Tamandua tetradactyla: one gene and its partner. The protein of the gene in region 2 purifies or fractionates together with the protein of the main gene of each other region. This does not show direct contact. Links are inferred from orthologs where the notes say so. Each region holds a gene or a part of one and is shown on either strand. Other genes may lie near its edges.

Region 1 (7,823 bases), on a different chromosome or scaffold from region 2:
CATTTTTCTCCTCTGTCTGCAGGGACCACTCTTCCCCAAACCAAGATTTTGTATAGCTTCTAGACAAAAGAGCTTGCTTGGCAGATAAAGTCAATTCTTGGGCTATCCTGGTGGGGTACTGGGGGGAGCAAAGCAGAGGGGAATGTGAAAGGCATATGGCTCCTTCCCCAAAGCCAATGAGACAGAACTCTCGTCTATGCAAAGAATAACCCTTCAAAGCAGCACACTGGTGTTGGTGGACCGAGGAGGGTATTCTTACATGTGGCGGTCAATCTTCTTAGATTCACGGTATCTTCTGAGCAGCCGGCGCAGAATTCTCATCCTCCTCATCCAAGTTACCTTCTCGGGCATCCGAGCATTGGCAGTACCCTTTCGCTTACCTACAGAGAAGGTGGATTAGGAATCAGTCATCGCCCAGGCTTACTATGGCGTGTCAATGCCACATGTCAGTTACTAAGGCCAGCTAATGGGTAAAAAGGATAGCTATCAACTTCTGAAACACTTTATAATTCACTGTCATATGCAAAGCACTTTACTTCATTTATCCTCACAACATCCTTAAGCAGTATTACCTCTATTTCATAACTGAGGATTAAGTATTTAATTTCTTCTTTCACTTACACAATTTTTGGTGAAGCACAAATAAGGCAATTATTCCCCCATTTATTTCATTCAGAATTATGGATATGACAGGGTGCTCACCAAGGCTGTATAGTAGGCTGGAAGAGGCTCTGAACATGGAATGACCTTTGTCTACCTGAATCACTTACCCCAGGGTAGTTTTAGGATTAAAAAGGACAACTTTTAATCTTTGGCACAGAGCAGGAGCTCAATAAATGTGACTTCTTTCTACCAAGATTATTTTCAATTCCAACAAGAGTACCAACTTCCTGATTTGCACACAAGCAAAAAACACACGAGATATCGTGGAATAAGAAAAGGGCTCAAGATGAGACAGAGCAGGAAGAAAAAGACTCCAAATATGTGACATTCTCACTCTAGACTCAAGCACCTAATATTTCTTAAGCCATGGAGAAAGGTAGAAAACCACAGTTACCTATGCCCATATGCCTGCCCTTCCGGCGGGCTAAGGTGTTTTTCCGGCATCGCGCTCGGGAATGGACAGTCACTGGCTTGCGGATAATGAGCCCATCTTTGATAAGCTTCCGAATCTGCTGACCTGGGAAAACATAATGCACCTAGTCACTGAACTGGGGCTGAGCCCCTACAGAAGCAGCTGCAAAGGTGAATCCAAACTTTTAGATCTCTGACCCAGTGGTCTTAAGATGGTAAAAATACTGGAACCTCTGTATTTCTTGCTTTCTCTTGTTTTACATTTCTCCATGTTAAATGTCTTATATTATATAGCACATTCAAAAAATATACATCTGGGGATGTGTGATCAAAATAGTGTACAGCCAGTCACCTGCCTTACCTATTACTTATTGTCGATTGAGATTTTTTTTTAGCACCACGAACCCCTAGAGGTAAAGCACTTCCTTGAAATTAAGTGGAAGTAAATAGGAGTGTCTTTGTGCCACCTGCAGGCCTGACCTCTGTAACTGCCTTGAATACTAATATGCCAACAGACTTCTACAAAGATCCAAGGCCCCAATCTTCCCAATTCCTTGTTTCCTTGGCAACCTCTACCCCCCAAATCCCAAATCTTGCACGTAGCCACAAAACATAATACCCACTTTAGAAATAGCCACAAACATAACATTTCCACCCTGTCCTTCTGGAAAATGGCAGAAAAAGGGAACTCTGGTGCTGCCTTATTTTTGTGACTCCATTTTATAAGAACCAAGGACCATGAGCTTTCCCAGGACTGTAAAGAATCAATGCAGTCCTGTTACTCCTCTAACACAGGATGAGGAGAGCAGCAGGGTAGACAATCAACATCGATTCCAAGGACTCACGGGAATTGGCATTGGCGATTTCATTGGTCTCATTTGGATCCAACCAAACCTTCTTCTTGCCACAGCGGAGGACGCTGGAGGCGAGCCTCTTCTGAAGCCTGAGCATACTGTGGCACAGAGAAAACTCCATCAGGCCCTGGAAGCCACTCCTGAGCAATAATAATGTGCCTCCCCAGCAAGACCCACCCACTGAGGTCTTTTAATGTTGTGATACGTCACATCTACAGGAAAGTGGATAAATCACATATAGATACTTGCTATAGCAGGGCAAACACACATCGCCACTTTTGCTACCCACACCACATTTCCAGAGCAAACACTTTCCCCAAATCACGACCTTGCTAAGGTCTTAAGCAGTCCTTAATGTAGGAGACAACTGACATTCCTGGGATTAAAATTTTGAGTTATGCTTTAAACGCTCTGTACCTCAGTTTCCATCTCTAGAAAATGAAGTTAACGATAAAGGTGCGATGGAGAGGGGGCTTATGCCCTTTCTGGTGTTCAGAGCTAAAAACAAGTGTTTAAAGGAAAGGCCCGTGGACCTCCTTTCCAATCTGGGGACTTAGGAAAAAAGTTCTTTGCTTTCTGGGCTTTTTTCCTCGTGTTATCACAGTAACAATAAGTGACGTCCGGAGGGCCTTTAAGGTCTCTCGCAGGAGGGATGAATGGAGAGGAAAGCGTCAAAGAGCTGGCCAATCACCTAACCCTCAGTGGCCGGAGGCCTGCGGCCTGCGGCCTGCGCAAGGCTTATCCCACGTCACACGTAAGCGGGGATCGGCTAGGTTGCGAGCGCGCCCAGCGGGTAAGGGGGTCGCAACCTAGTTCCCCCTGTGGCCTTTCCTTAGCCCACGTGGGTCGCGGAACAACCTCCTGCCAATCTCGAGTTCCTAGGACGCTCCCCCACCCCCATCCTCTCGAACCCAGAGCCCAGTGCACTGCGGCCTACCCCGAGCTCTGAGACCCGCCGCTTCCAAGTTGCCTCCATCTCACCTCCCTTCCCTTGTGGCCACGGTACCAAGCCCACCGTCCCCCACCCAGGTTAGCCGAAACCGGAGACCCACGAACCCTCACCTCATGGCTGCGACAGCAGCGCCGAAAGGAAAGAACTTGTTAAGGCCGGGCCCATCCCATTATCTGTGAAGGGGAGAGTCCATGCCCTGCTCCACTTTCGTTCGTATTTCCGTCCGTCTCTTTCTTCTTCCACACCCTAAACTAATCTATATTCTCTGCTCAGTTCCGAGATAATAGGATTCCAACATCAGGAATCTGTTTTTAACTTAAAAATATAGAAAAAATACCCCTCCCGTAGAGTAAAGTGGTATAGTCCGACTTCCTAATAGTCATGCGCAGCAAGGGTATCTGATCACGTGGGTATTGGATGGCCGGAAGTCACACTGGATTGCGTAGGCGAGGTGGGAGGGATTTGGTGAGAGAGGCCTCTTGCAGGCTTATCAGAACCCAGAATCGCAGGAAGAGTGTTTTATTGGCGAGGAAAGAAAGAATTAGTGAATGCAGTGAGAGCGAATGAAGGCAGATCTTTCAAAACAATCTTATTCATTCTCATGGTAGATTGGGGGCCTCTGGACCGCAGATAGATTACCAAAGACGTTACCTAGTATTTTTACGCTGCTGCGGTTCTTAATTTCTTGGTGCCTCCATTTTCCTCTCTGTTAAATGGACCTAATCCTAATATTTCTGTCTTCCAGTTGTGAAGGTCACATGAGTTGGAGTTTGCACTTTGCATAGGAAGGCATTGAGACAGCAAGCTCTATGAGAGTGGGGACCAATTTGTGGCACTAGAGGAGTGCTGTGTTGGCTGAATGGATGATTGGGAAAAGTTAAAACCAACTAACCAAAAAAACTATTCGAATGGAGGTACACCCATAGTTCTTTCCTCCTGTTTTGGAGCACCCAGTGTAAGAATTCAAGGAGAACATCCTGAGATCTAAGAAGCCTAGTTATGAGTTCTCAGTTCTGGCTCCAATTCCTTGCTTGGTGTCATTTGATCTTGATCACCTCTCTCTCTTTCCCTCTCTTTCTCTCATTTTCCCTCTCTCTCTTTTTTTCCTGATTGACTTTTTTAAAAGCAGTTTTATCGAGATATATTCACACCCTATACAACCTATCCAAAGTGAACAATCAATGGCTTCCATTATAATCACAGAGTTGTGCATTCATTCTTTTACTTGAGCTTTTCTGACTGCTAAATGGAGCAAAGAAGATCAAAAGAAGGGAAGCAATATTTAACACCACTTCCTCACTATATAATTAGTCTTATCCTCATTTTATACCTGAGTGATGCAATGGAAATTCAGAACCCAAGTCATTCTGACTGCAAAACCCAAGCCTTCTGTGTCACGCGAGATTCTCTTGTCCCCAAGGGGCAGGCAGGAACCCTGCTTGGTGTTGAAGTTGTTAATGAACAAACTTAGGAACAATGCTAATGTGTGCATTCTTGGATTTTTTTTATTGATTTTATTCCTTCATCCTCACTTCCCCTCCCCCCAAAAGGAGATGTGATCTAGGCTAGCCGTTCGCTGTGTGTGTTATCCTGGTGAACAGGAGGAATCAGTCAATCCTACAATCTCCCCTCCAGCAGAACACAATGTACTAGGCTTATTTTAAGGCTAAGGGGTCCTAGACAAATCACTCTTCTCATCTCTCAGCCTGAGTGGAGCAGGGTAAGGGGTGGAATAGGGAGTGAATGGGACAGTCCAGAGATTATAACTGACCCCTGTACAGCATCTTAGATCCCTCCCAAACACCCATCAGCTAATTTCATTCTTCCAATAAACCCAGTGACAAAGGCATAATATACCTGCAATTCCATTTTACAGGAGACGAAACCCACTCGGAAATGTGTAGTTACATACCCTGGGCCATACAACCAGTAGGAGCCTGAGTCGGATTGGCACCACAGTCTCTCCACAAATGGGGTCCAGATCTTGGGTATTTGTCCCCAAAAACAAGGATAAAAGGGGAACAGTTTCTAGGTTAAAGGTCATGAGATCTGATTTTAGCCAGTCTCATTCTCCCTCAGCTCCACATTTCTTTCTTCTCTTTTCTCCCTCTTCCATGGAACCGGGACCAGTGCTACTCTTGGCCTTTTGGAAGGGCCTGGGGATCCTAGCAACTGATTAGAGCAGGACTCCTGAGTCCCTGGGGTTCCGTCTCTTGCCACTGTCTTTGTGGGATCTTCCTTTGGACCCTCTCTCAATCACCCCACTCACCCCTCCACTCCCGCTTCAGCCCTCCTGCGGCAGCCCCAGAACTCTATTGAAGGAGGAGGGACCTTTTTGTTTGGTTTAAGGTGGCCTCAGTGCCACGCTGGAGATAAAGGAGCTACAGCCGCTTCCTAGGATGACCGGGACCGGGGAGTACCGGATGCAGGAGTGGGATGCGAAGACCCCCTGGAAGAGCGGTTTGGGACGCCGCTGGGGGTGCGGAGTGCCACTCATGTCAATCCGCGCATTCTCCCGACCCCGCTTGGTGTGCCCTGGCAACCGCCCCGCCCCCACCCGTCCCCCGCCCCGAAAGCGGGTTTCTTCAACCCTCCCGGAGGCCGCAGCTCTCACCCCAGGCCGGTTCCAGGCCAGCTCTCGGCCCCGGCCCAGGCCCGATCCCAGACCGGGAGGGGCGTGCCCAGCTCTCTAGCTCTCCCATTGTCTGTGCAGAGCCCGCGGAGGGGCTGCGAGGGGCGGGGACGGGGCGGGTACAGGGAGGGAGCGAGGGAGGGGTTGGGTGGGAGCGGAGAGGGCGGGGGGAGATGCTGAGCCCTCAGGAGCGGAGGAGGCGGCGGCGGCTGAAGAGAGAGGGAGGAGGAGGCTCGGCAGGAAGGGGGTAGCCGGAGGCCGGGCTGGGTGGCTGGAGTGGGTGCTGGCTGCGCGGCGCGGCGCTGCTCTCGGTTCGGACGGCTTCTCCCATGCGCTGAGGGCTCCGGTCTGGGCCGGGCGAGCGGCCGGAGGGGAGGTTCCTCTCCATGGTCCAGAAGACCAGCATGTCCCGGGGCCCGTACCCACCCTCCCAGGAGATCCCCATGGAGGTCTTCGACCCCAGCCCACAGGTGAGACGCGGTGGCCGGTCCCAAGGGAAGAGGGCCATTCCCCGCGGACCTTTGTGGGGCCAACTCGAGGGGCGCCGGGAAGGAAGGGGTTATATGCAGGGCACCGAGAGTAGAGGGGTGCTTGCACGCCCCCCCATCTCTGCGGGTTAATGATTGATGGGCGCTTGGCCCGGAGTTGGGCTGCGGTGCTGTGGAGCGGGAGGGGGCGGCTGGGCCGCCTGTCGCCCTTGCCTCCACTCCTCCCCCGCGTCAGGGTCCCTGCTGCTGGGGTACCGTTTCCAGTGGACTGGCATTGAGGGTGCCGGCAGGGGAATCTGGGCCTTGAGAAGGGGTGGTCGAGGGTAGTTGGAGAGCGAGCCCACGCTAGGGGGGCTACGCAGAGCACGCTCCGGGGCGCCGGGCGGGGGTGGGTGGGGCGGGGGTGGCACTGGGAGATGGCCGAGGCGATGGGCGGAGGGCGGTGCCAATAGGCTTCGGAGTCGCGGACCGTGGCCCTCGAGGCTGCGGGAAGGGACCAGCTCTGGGCCAGGCCCCCATCCCTAGGCACACTTCTCCCACCCATCGCTTGGACCAGCTCCCCTCCCCCACCCAACACCCACGTTGTCTTTCCTCGAGCCGCGGAAAGCACCTCCAAAGTTTAGAAAGTTGGATGGATGCCAACTCACTCTCCTGGAGGGGGAGAAGCTGGAGGAGGGGTCTGCCGCAGCACCCCTACTCACGTTTTTCCTATGCCCCTGGGTTATCGCCTGGAAGGGGCATTCCTGGTGTGGTGGGTGCCCATGGGCTGATCCGCAGGGCCTGAGGTGATTGTACCAGGGGATTTCTTTGGGACTTGTCCTCCTCCAGCCCACCAAAGCCCCAAGCATGAATCCTTCTCTTGCTGTGGCCAGCTGGGAGCAACTGTAACCACCATGATAATGTGGTTGATGGGTATGTGGGGGGTTCAGGTCAAACCTAAAAATACTCCCTCCTCCTCTCCAGGCCCCTTGGAGTCTGAAAGGCAACTGACTGGGGCTTCCTTTCAGCTGTCCCCTGTCTCTCTGGGTGCCACTCCCTTTTCCCAACCTCACAGTGGTGGTGGTATGAATGAGGCAGGGGCTCATTGGTAGGTTTATAGGGGTCCTCAAACATTGTTTGGGTAGATGTGTGGCCTGAGATAAGGCGAGGTGAGGGAGGATCCTCAAAGGTCCCCAGGTGCCCTCTTCTCCCACCTACTCTTCCTCCGTCCTGGAGGACCCAGGAGCCAGAGCCTCCAGTCTGGTCCCGGCTCATTCAGGTTCTTTGGTGAAAGGAAACTCTAGGATGGAGACTGGGGAGTGGGAGTGGGGGGCTGGGGAAGAGCTTGGAGGGCCTGAACTCTCAATCACCCCCTCCCTAACTTTTTGGACTGACCAGGGGCCGAGTGTGTACATTGAGTTGGGGGAGACAAAGAAGAAGCCCCTTTATAGGAGGCCTGGAAATACCCGAAACCTGTAACCTGAACATGGGCTGCCCAAGGGGTGTCCATCTAAGCCAGAGCCCTGGTCAGTAAGACTGAGCCCGTTCCCCCCGCGGAGGCCTGTGAGGCTGTGTCCTAAGCTCGGCCTGGGGCGGGGCCGAGGGGCATTTAGATTGACGTAGCCTGGTGGGTACCATGGGGACAGGGCGTGGACAGTGGCAACTGGGGGTGGAGGCTGGATCCCTCTTGCCACCCCCTGGAGAGGTGTGGCTACTGTGATTGTGAGGGGGGGAGTGAGAAAAGGCCTGCCAGGGCCAGAGGGTTGGGGGATCTGCCCCCGTGACACTGGACTGGGATTGGATGTTTCCAAATAGGGTTTCATGTACCCTCCCCTCCCCCAAAT
Region 2 (7,888 bases):
TCTGGGGAGGTGAGTAGGGGGCGCAGGGAGCTGGTAGGGAAACAGGCTCCGACCCACCAGGCCCTTCCCTGCGCGCAGCACCGGTTCAGAGGCTACGATTGTCACTTTTTATTAAGTTACAGGATGAGATGTGCAGGTTCGCTGGCGCCTGCCCCTTTCCACCACGTTTGGGCGACAGTAGCCCCCAGCCCCGCAATGAGGGGTGGGGGGGAAGGACAGCACGGGGTCCACGTGGGCCCCAGGATCAAGCGCGACTGACACGGAAGACAGAAAGCGGGGTGGGGGGTGGGGGGTGGGGGGGCCTGTCTCCGCCGTGGCGTTTTTTTTTGGGGGGGGAGGGGTGAGTGGGGGGGGGGGCTTCTGTACAAGGTCATCCTCTGCGGAGGTTCTGGTCACGGGCCGGAAACCACACGCTGGGCGGGCGCGGAGCGCAGCGTGCCACGCCCCCGGCTCCCCGACGCCCCGCCCCGCCGGCCTGGGGGCGTCTCCCGGCCTGACCACGCTCACCGGGGCGAGCGGCCCCCACGCGGGGCCGCACCGCCGCTCCCGGCTGCCGCCTGGCCCGCGCAGCGACTGTCCAAGGGGTGCCGCCTCCCCGCACCTACTACTTCTCGGGCGCGGGCAGCGGCGCGGGCTCCGGTTCCCACAGCAGGAACTCGTGGAGCAGCGTGTTCACGGTCTCGGGGCACTCCAGCATCACCATGTGGCTGCCCTCATCGATGAGCTTCAGGAAGGCCAGGAGCAAGATCTGCGGGAAGTTCCTCCTGCTGTCTACCTTTCATCCGTCCCCTCCCACCCGCCGGGGAGCCAGGCGCAGGGCGCCCGCATCCATCCAACTGGCATTTATTAGGCGCCTATGACCTGTCTGCAACAGGATTTCCCTGCTCGGGTAGGGGCTGTTCTTTGTCGTGGGGTGTGGGGGGTCTGTCCTGGGCATCCGAGGGTATACAGCAGCATCCCTGGGTCCCACTCACCAGATGCCAGGGGCACCCCTGTCCCCAAGCTGAGGCAGCCAAAAACGGTCTTCCATGGCCCCACAATAAAAAAGCCCATTCCAACCAAAATAATCTCCCAGGTTGTCAGAGCCCTTTGGGGGTCCCTTACAGCTCCATAGCCTGCACCCCAGGAAGACACCTGGCGGTGTCCCCTGGCTCCCACCCCCGCCTCCCTGGCACCTGGGCCCAGGGCTACCTCAGCCATGCGCTGGTCCTCCTCCACCGGCACGAACTTGTCATGCATGCCATGGACCAGCAGGACTGGCACGGTCAGCTCGGCGTGGTACACCTCGTCCCCCTCGGGCCAGTACTGGCCGCTCATCATGGCCCGCAGCACGAAGGACGACACGTTGAAGGCGTTGCCCTCCTTCAGCAGCTGCTTCTCCTTGGCCCCTTGGCGGGCAAAGCCAGCCCTGGCAGAGGGAGAGGCATGGCCGGGAAGCCCCTGGTGCTAGCCCCCACCCCGTGGTAGCAGACCGCCCTTCCCTGCCCACTGCAGCCCCGGGAGAGGCTGGGAACCCTCCCCGGAGGGTGGCATGGGGACACTCACTTGAGGAAGCTCCAGGCCAGGCAGGGTGACAGGCAGTGCAGGACGCAGGTGGGCATGTTGAAGATGGAGCAGAAGCTGGGCTCCAGGGCCGTGGGGCCCCCACCGTTTATCATGATCACCTTGTGAACCAGGTCCGGGTACTCGTGTGCCAGGAAGGTGCAGAAGGAGACGCTGCCAGGGAGGAAGGGAGGGCGGGCGAAGGCTGGTGGTCAGCAGGGCAGAGGAAGGCCAGGAGCAAGAGCTGGGTGATGCCCTCCCCTCACCCCACAAGGCAGGTCCCTTGGGGTCCATGGGCATCTGTTGGGGGGGGGTTGGTGCATCTCGGATGCCCCCAAATTGCAACATCATCAACATCACATGTTTCAAGGAAGGAATTTTTTTGGACAGAGGAGCTGGCTCCAGAATTCTGATTGGATTCTCAAAGGCTCCATGATCCCCCCAAAAGGGAAAGAGTAATGATTTATTTCCAAGCATTGGGAAAGCAATCGATTAAATGATTGAAAGAACCCTTCAGCTCCCCAGAGAAGATCGCCCAGTTTCCTGCATAACTCTTCCCTGGAAGGATAAGCCAGCCACCCCACACGCCTCTGGGCGTGGCCCACCAGCCTGCCTTACGCCAGGTGGAGGGGTGCAGTCTCAGGGTGCCCAAAGTCCAGCTCATCATTCCCTCTAAAGCAGGGGTCGGCAAGCTTTTGTAAATAAAGTTTACAATTTGGTAAAATGGTATTTTGTAAATAAAGTTTTCCATCGGCACAACCACATTCATTCCTTTCTGGCTGCTTTTGTTCTACTGTGGCTGCAGTTGAGAAACTGTAGGGAAGACCTTGTGGTCAGAAGCCTAAAATATTTACTATCTACCCCTTTAAGAAAAAGTCTGTGGATCTCTGCAGTAAATAAAGCAAAGGTTCAATGAGCTTCCATCATCGAGCCACTGTGTAAACAGAGGCAGGACTCAGGCAGACCTGATCATGCCAGACTTGCTGTGTGCCCTTGGGCAGGTTGCTTGACCTCTCTGAGCTTGTCTCCACATCTGTGAAATGGTCACTGCACTGACCTCATAGCATTGTTGTTATTTAACACATGTAAAGGAGTCAACAGGAACTACCAGTTTGGGTGCTCATTTAATTGGAGGAGTCAGTTGGCATAAGCATTGACTTTTTGGGGAGGCTAACTAACCAAATAAAACCCACCCATGTTACCTCTGGACCCTGATTCCCTTTTCTGGGATATTTAAGTAACTTTTTTTTTTTCTTGTCTTATTGCATTGGCCAAACTCGCTAAAACAGTGGTTCTCAGTCTGGCTGGTTTTCCTTGCCAGTTGAGTGTAATGCTGCTTTGTAGTAGTTGGGTCCCACAGCCCAAAGCTTTCCTTCCATGGTGCCGGCTCTCAGTAAACGCTAGATGGAATTATCACCTTATTAGGGAGAACAGATAACAGCCATCTATGCCTTCCTAAACAGACTTTATGAGATTCCTACTAGCATTTCCTTGACCACACAGAGGGAACTATCAGCGCTCCCAATGTCTGAACTTCATCTAAGATCACACATCCACACCAGGGGCCATTTTGCTGGCTATGTGACCTTTTGGCAATGCCTGGAGACATCTTTTATTCTCATTCTCATCGCTCCTGGCTCCAGTGGGAAGAGGCCAGGGGTGCATGGAAAACATTGCAAAATGTGGCAGGTATTCATGGCATTTTTTCCAGGAGGGAAATGGCATTTGGTGTCCCCGTGGGGACCCCCAGCCCCCAGCCGCAGCCCCAGCCCGGGGCTCTCTCACCCGTAGGAATGCCCGATGAGCACATTCCGCTTCTTGGCATAGCGCTTGAAGATGGCGCGCATGTCCTCAGCCAGCGCGTAAAAGGTGTAGGCGGCCGCCACCTGGGGCACAGAGCTGGCCCCATGGCCGGCCAGGTCAGGGGCCACCACCTCGTAGCCCAGGCGCACAAAGAAGTCCAGCTGCTCCTTCCAGATGGCCAGAGAGCCGCCCACACCGTGGATAAAAAACAGCACCACATCCGCCTGGGCGCCCTTGCAGCTGGTGATGCGCTTCTCGCAGTCAATGTGGATGGTCCGCTTGGGGCGCCTGGCGCGGCGCCGCCGCCCACCACTGCCGCTGCCCGCGCTGCCGGGGCCCGAGCGGCCGTCGCTGCCCGCGGGGTCGGCCAGCTCCACTTCCAGGGCGGCGGGGGGCTCCCCGGCCCCGTTCTGCCCGTGCAGGAGGTCGGCCCGCGGCGCCCGGCCCAGGTTCTCCACCAGTAGCCGCCCGTTGCGGTACACGGTGATCCGCCGCTGGCAGCGCACCAGGCCCGAGCGGTCCCCCTGCTCCGGGTCCGGCGGCGGCGGCGGCGGCGGTGGGGAGGGGGCCGCGGCGGGGCCGGCGTGCTTCACCCGCAGCACGCGGCCCGGCTTGACCTCCACGAAGGTGTAGCCGTCGCTGGACTCCACACTCTCCAGGGGGCCCACGGCGTTGGGCTGCGCGCCCAGCAGGCAGCAGAAAATGCCATCCGCCACCCCTGTCAACATGGTGCGTCCTGGGAGGGAGCAGCAGCCAACTCAGGGACCAGGGGAGGGGAAGGCCTCAGCCACCCCAGCGCCCACCCGAGGCCACGTGGGGCAGGGGGGCCCAACTGGGAGACCCCTTCTCCAGCTCCGGCTTTGGGGTGCAGAGGCACCAGAAAGGTCCTTCTTTGAACTTGAGTTGGGAAGGGGCCAATGAGAAGGGCTAAGGTAGTTGCTGAGAGTCAGGGGGACTTCCTAGAGGAGGGGGCATAGTGGCAAGTTTGGTCCAAGCCCTGAAGACCACCCTCCCACCCCACCTTGGGTTTTAGGCAGTTGAGGCCTCCTAAACCCATTCATTCATCTACTCATTCATTCATTCATTCATGTATGCAATCTTTCATGAACTCACTTTCCCTAAGCCAGCATTTTCTAAGGGCCTCCTAAGGCATCCTGAAGGGTGCTGACCCCCAGTGGCTCTGCCCCTGGTCCCCGGAAAGTGACAAACGAGGGGGGACCCCATTCTCACTCAAGCTACTCATTTCAAGGGGTCTCCCAGAGCTCCCGCCTCTGGGGTGAGCCAAGCCTATTTCACAGAGGGGCAAGCTGAGGCCCAGATCCGTGGGGTGAGGGGCTGCTCCCTGTACCCCAGGTTGGTAGCCCGGATCTGGGGGGTTGTCATAAGAAGGCATAATGGTGGCCATGGGAACTGGGATGGACAGGCCTCTGGGGGCCTCCATGCTGCATCCCGGCCGCTTGGGCCCACCCACCCCCCGCCGTGTCCATGGCAACCGCAGGAGGTTACATAACGCGAGGGGGAGCCCCATGCAGTGCACCCCCATTGTCTAGGGCCTGGGGGCGCTGATGGAGATCCCTCCCCTCCTGGACCCCCAACCTGGGCACAGAGGGGTGAACGCACGCTGAAGGTGCAGCCCGCGATGGGCCCTCCACGAGCTGAAAGAGGGGGAGCAGCCGCGCCCCCCACCCCGGGCGGGGCCCCTACTCCGGGTTGCGGAGCGGGACGCAGATGCGAGGCGCCAGGCCCCCGCCTCTCGGGTGCCCGTGAGCCCCGCGGTGGGTTCTTAGCCGCCGGGGCTCCGCAGCTTCCTAGGAGCCTGGGCAAGGGCTTCGCGGGCCCCCCACCTCCGACACGGAGGCCCCGGGGACCCCGGCGCCCTCCGCCCCGGGCCCGCTCCCAGCTCACCTCATCGAGTGCCCCGGGGCCCGGGGCGGGGCGGAGAGGTCCCGGACGGAGAAGCCACCGTCGCCTGTGGGCGCCGTTTACATGGTGACGCGGGGTCGGGCGGGCGCGGGCCGGGGCGCTCAGCGCTGGGGCATCCCGCCGCCGCGATGCCAGCCGGCCCTTTAACTCCCTCCCTCGTGGGGCGGGACCGCGTACGGACCGGCGGGCGCCTACGCCAATCGCGGTTGCGCCCTGAGCTGTCCTACTTAGCTGACCAATCAGAGGCGGCGGCGCCGACCTGGGCGCGGGCTCTAGGAACTGCGGCCCCGCCCCTTTCGGGGGCTCACCGAGTTGGCGGGAGGGATTGGGCCTGCACCCAGGCAGAGAAGGGGTCGTAGTCTGGGGTCTGCAGGCTCCCCTGAAGGGCAGCCAGGTCCCTCCCATCGCTTTCTGGGGTCTCCTCAGCCAGCCCCTTTCTCGGAACTGCCCTATTTCCTCCGTTTTCGGGTAGGGAAACTGAGGCTCATAAAAGACAGGTCCTTGCACAAGGTCACAAGGCAAAGGGGCGGGGTGGGGGTGGGGGCAGAGGTGGGCCTTGACCCCGAGGCTGGATGAGGCCACGTCCCAGTAATTTGTATTTGCTCAAACTTTGAACCGTAAGTAAGTAGGGAATTGGGAGTTTCCCACACCAGCCTGCTCAACCGATGGCTGCTGATGCAGTGGAGGGGGCACCGGAGGGGGCAGCTCCGTGTTCCAGGCTGAGGCCCTTAGATAGCCACGGGTTCAAATCCAGCCCCTGCCCCTTGCTGGAAATGTGGTTTGGGGCCATCCACTTCACTGCCCCGAGCCCCCATTTATTTCTTGGTGAAGTTAATCCCTCAAGAGTTCTCTGTGAAGGTCAAGCAGTCAGCACTGGACCTTACATTCATCAAAAAAAATCATTGCAATGGCTGTCTGCTAAATGACGGCGCCGCGGTAGGGGCTCCAGAGGCCCGAGAGTTAATGGCTTCCTCGCCAGGAGCCCACTCCCTGCCCCTGGAATTTGCTGCCTGAGCTGGGTCAGGTCTTGCCTTCCCACTCAGGGCGCTCCTGGGAGACTGCACGGTTATTCATTCAGCAAACGCTCCCCACAGCTCTCTGGGCCCACCCCCGGCTGGGAGAGGCTGGGGCGTCCACCGGGAGGGACTCGGCCGCAGGTCAGGCTCTCACCGCCCTTCCCGGCCCCACCTGGGGCAAACACTCCCAGCCATGTAGGATCTCGGTTTGGCCAGAAGGAGAGACGAGGGTGAGGGGAAAAGGCAGAGGAGGGCACATGGGGAGGGTTTAAGAGGATGAGCAAGGGGACATCAGGCAGAGAGGAGGGTGTGGCTGCAACCCAGAGGTGTGTGTGTAGAGTGCCTCACGTGCCTGCCCCAGTTGCTGGACATTTTCCCCTGGGGCAAGAGGGAGCCACGGAGGGTGAGTGACAGGGGAGGGGCTCAGATCTGAGTATCAGAGCCAGAAGGAGGGCAAGACCGGCAAAGATAAACGTGCGGCCCGTGCACCTTACCACCGAGATGCTGATGCCCTGGGGAGAGGCAGGGACCACGCCAAGGACACCCAGCCAGCTAGATCTCGGGCCTCCTGGGCTCCCCGCCAAGGGGCGGAGACTTGGCAGGGGACAGAGAGAAGCTGCCAGCCAGCTGAGTGCCATCTGCCCGGCTCCCGCTGGGGGTGGGCGGTGATCAGACCAGCCGTTTCCTGCGGCTACCACCAGCTGCGCCACGGCCACCACGGGGCACCCTCTGGAGGGCGACAGAAGGAACTACAACTCCCAGCATACCCCACCTCGGGCATAATGCGCATGCTCAGAAGGCGCCGCTCTCGCGCCACCTTTCGTTTACCCGAAGAACTACGTTTCCCTGCAGGCACGGACGCCGGCTCCTTTGATGCGCAGGCGTGGAACTACAAGTCCCGGAGGCCTCCGCGGCAAGGCCTCCGCCGGAGGAGGAACTACATTTCCCAGAAGACTTCGTTCTGCGGCTGCGGCACCGCCGTCGGCAGCGACGGCGTTGTCCCGGCGAGACATGGCTTCCTTGGCGGGTACTCTGGGTCGCCTGTGGGGCCGCGGCGGTAGGTCGGCGGCGCTGCTGGGGGGCAGGTGAGTACCCAGGGGAACCGTTCCCCAGATTTAGGAGTGAGGCGGTGTCGGGCTGGCGTGGGCTGTCCCCCACCGTGACGCCGCCGGGGCAGGAAATTGGGGGCTCAGAGAGGTTGTGTGCCGCGCCCGAAGTCACACAGCAGCCCTGCTGACGTTTTTCTCTGTCAATCTGCCCCAGCACGTGGTTCCAGCCTCGGGCCTGGCTGGGGCTCCCGGACGCCTGGGGCTTCCCGTCTCTGCAGCAGGCCCGGGGCAAGGCGCGTGGGAACGAGTACCAGCCGAGCAACATCAAACGCAAGCACAAGCACGGCTGGGTCCGGCGTCTGAGCACCCCGGCCGGCGTCCAGGTCATTCTTCGCCGCATGCACAAGGGCCGCAAGTCGCTGAGCCACTGAGGGTGCGATGCTGCCGGCGGGACCTCCAGTAAAGGGTTTTTCCTCGTCTGGGGAGCGGGGACAATCCGAACATGAGTGCTCCCCAGAGTACGGGGTGGAGATTTGGGGTGGGACTGGAAGGGCG

What was found.
Region 1: the proteins of MRPL34 (region 2) and RPL19 purify together in Homo sapiens (co-immunoprecipitation; 3 studies listed by BioGRID and IntAct, with this or other methods). This does not show direct contact. The link is inferred for Tamandua tetradactyla from reciprocal best matches to the Homo sapiens genes MRPL34 and RPL19.

The regions. Positions count from the first base shown.
Region 1 is NC_135332.1:27,998,656-28,006,478, forward strand, and holds the start of RPL19 (large ribosomal subunit protein eL19), read right to left. Parts: upstream 3,071-7,823; 5' UTR 2,996-3,070; coding exon 2,991-2,995; intron 2,027-2,990; coding exon 1,920-2,026; intron 1,181-1,919; coding exon 1,058-1,180; intron 381-1,057; coding exon 260-380; intron 1-259. Other genes in the region: CACNB1 (voltage-dependent L-type calcium channel subunit beta-1), read left to right, coding at 5,899-5,982.
Region 2 is NC_135337.1:95,465,650-95,473,537, forward strand, and holds the start of MRPL34 (large ribosomal subunit protein bL34m), read left to right. Parts: upstream 1-4,840; 5' UTR 4,841-4,972; intron 4,973-5,250; exon of another isoform or gene 5,251-5,422; intron 5,423-7,136; 5' UTR 7,137-7,157; coding exon 7,158-7,369; intron 7,370-7,547; coding exon 7,548-7,764; 3' UTR 7,765-7,888. Other genes in the region: protein ABHD8, read right to left, coding at 605-748, 1,192-1,408, 1,546-1,716, 3,328-4,081, 4,576-4,786.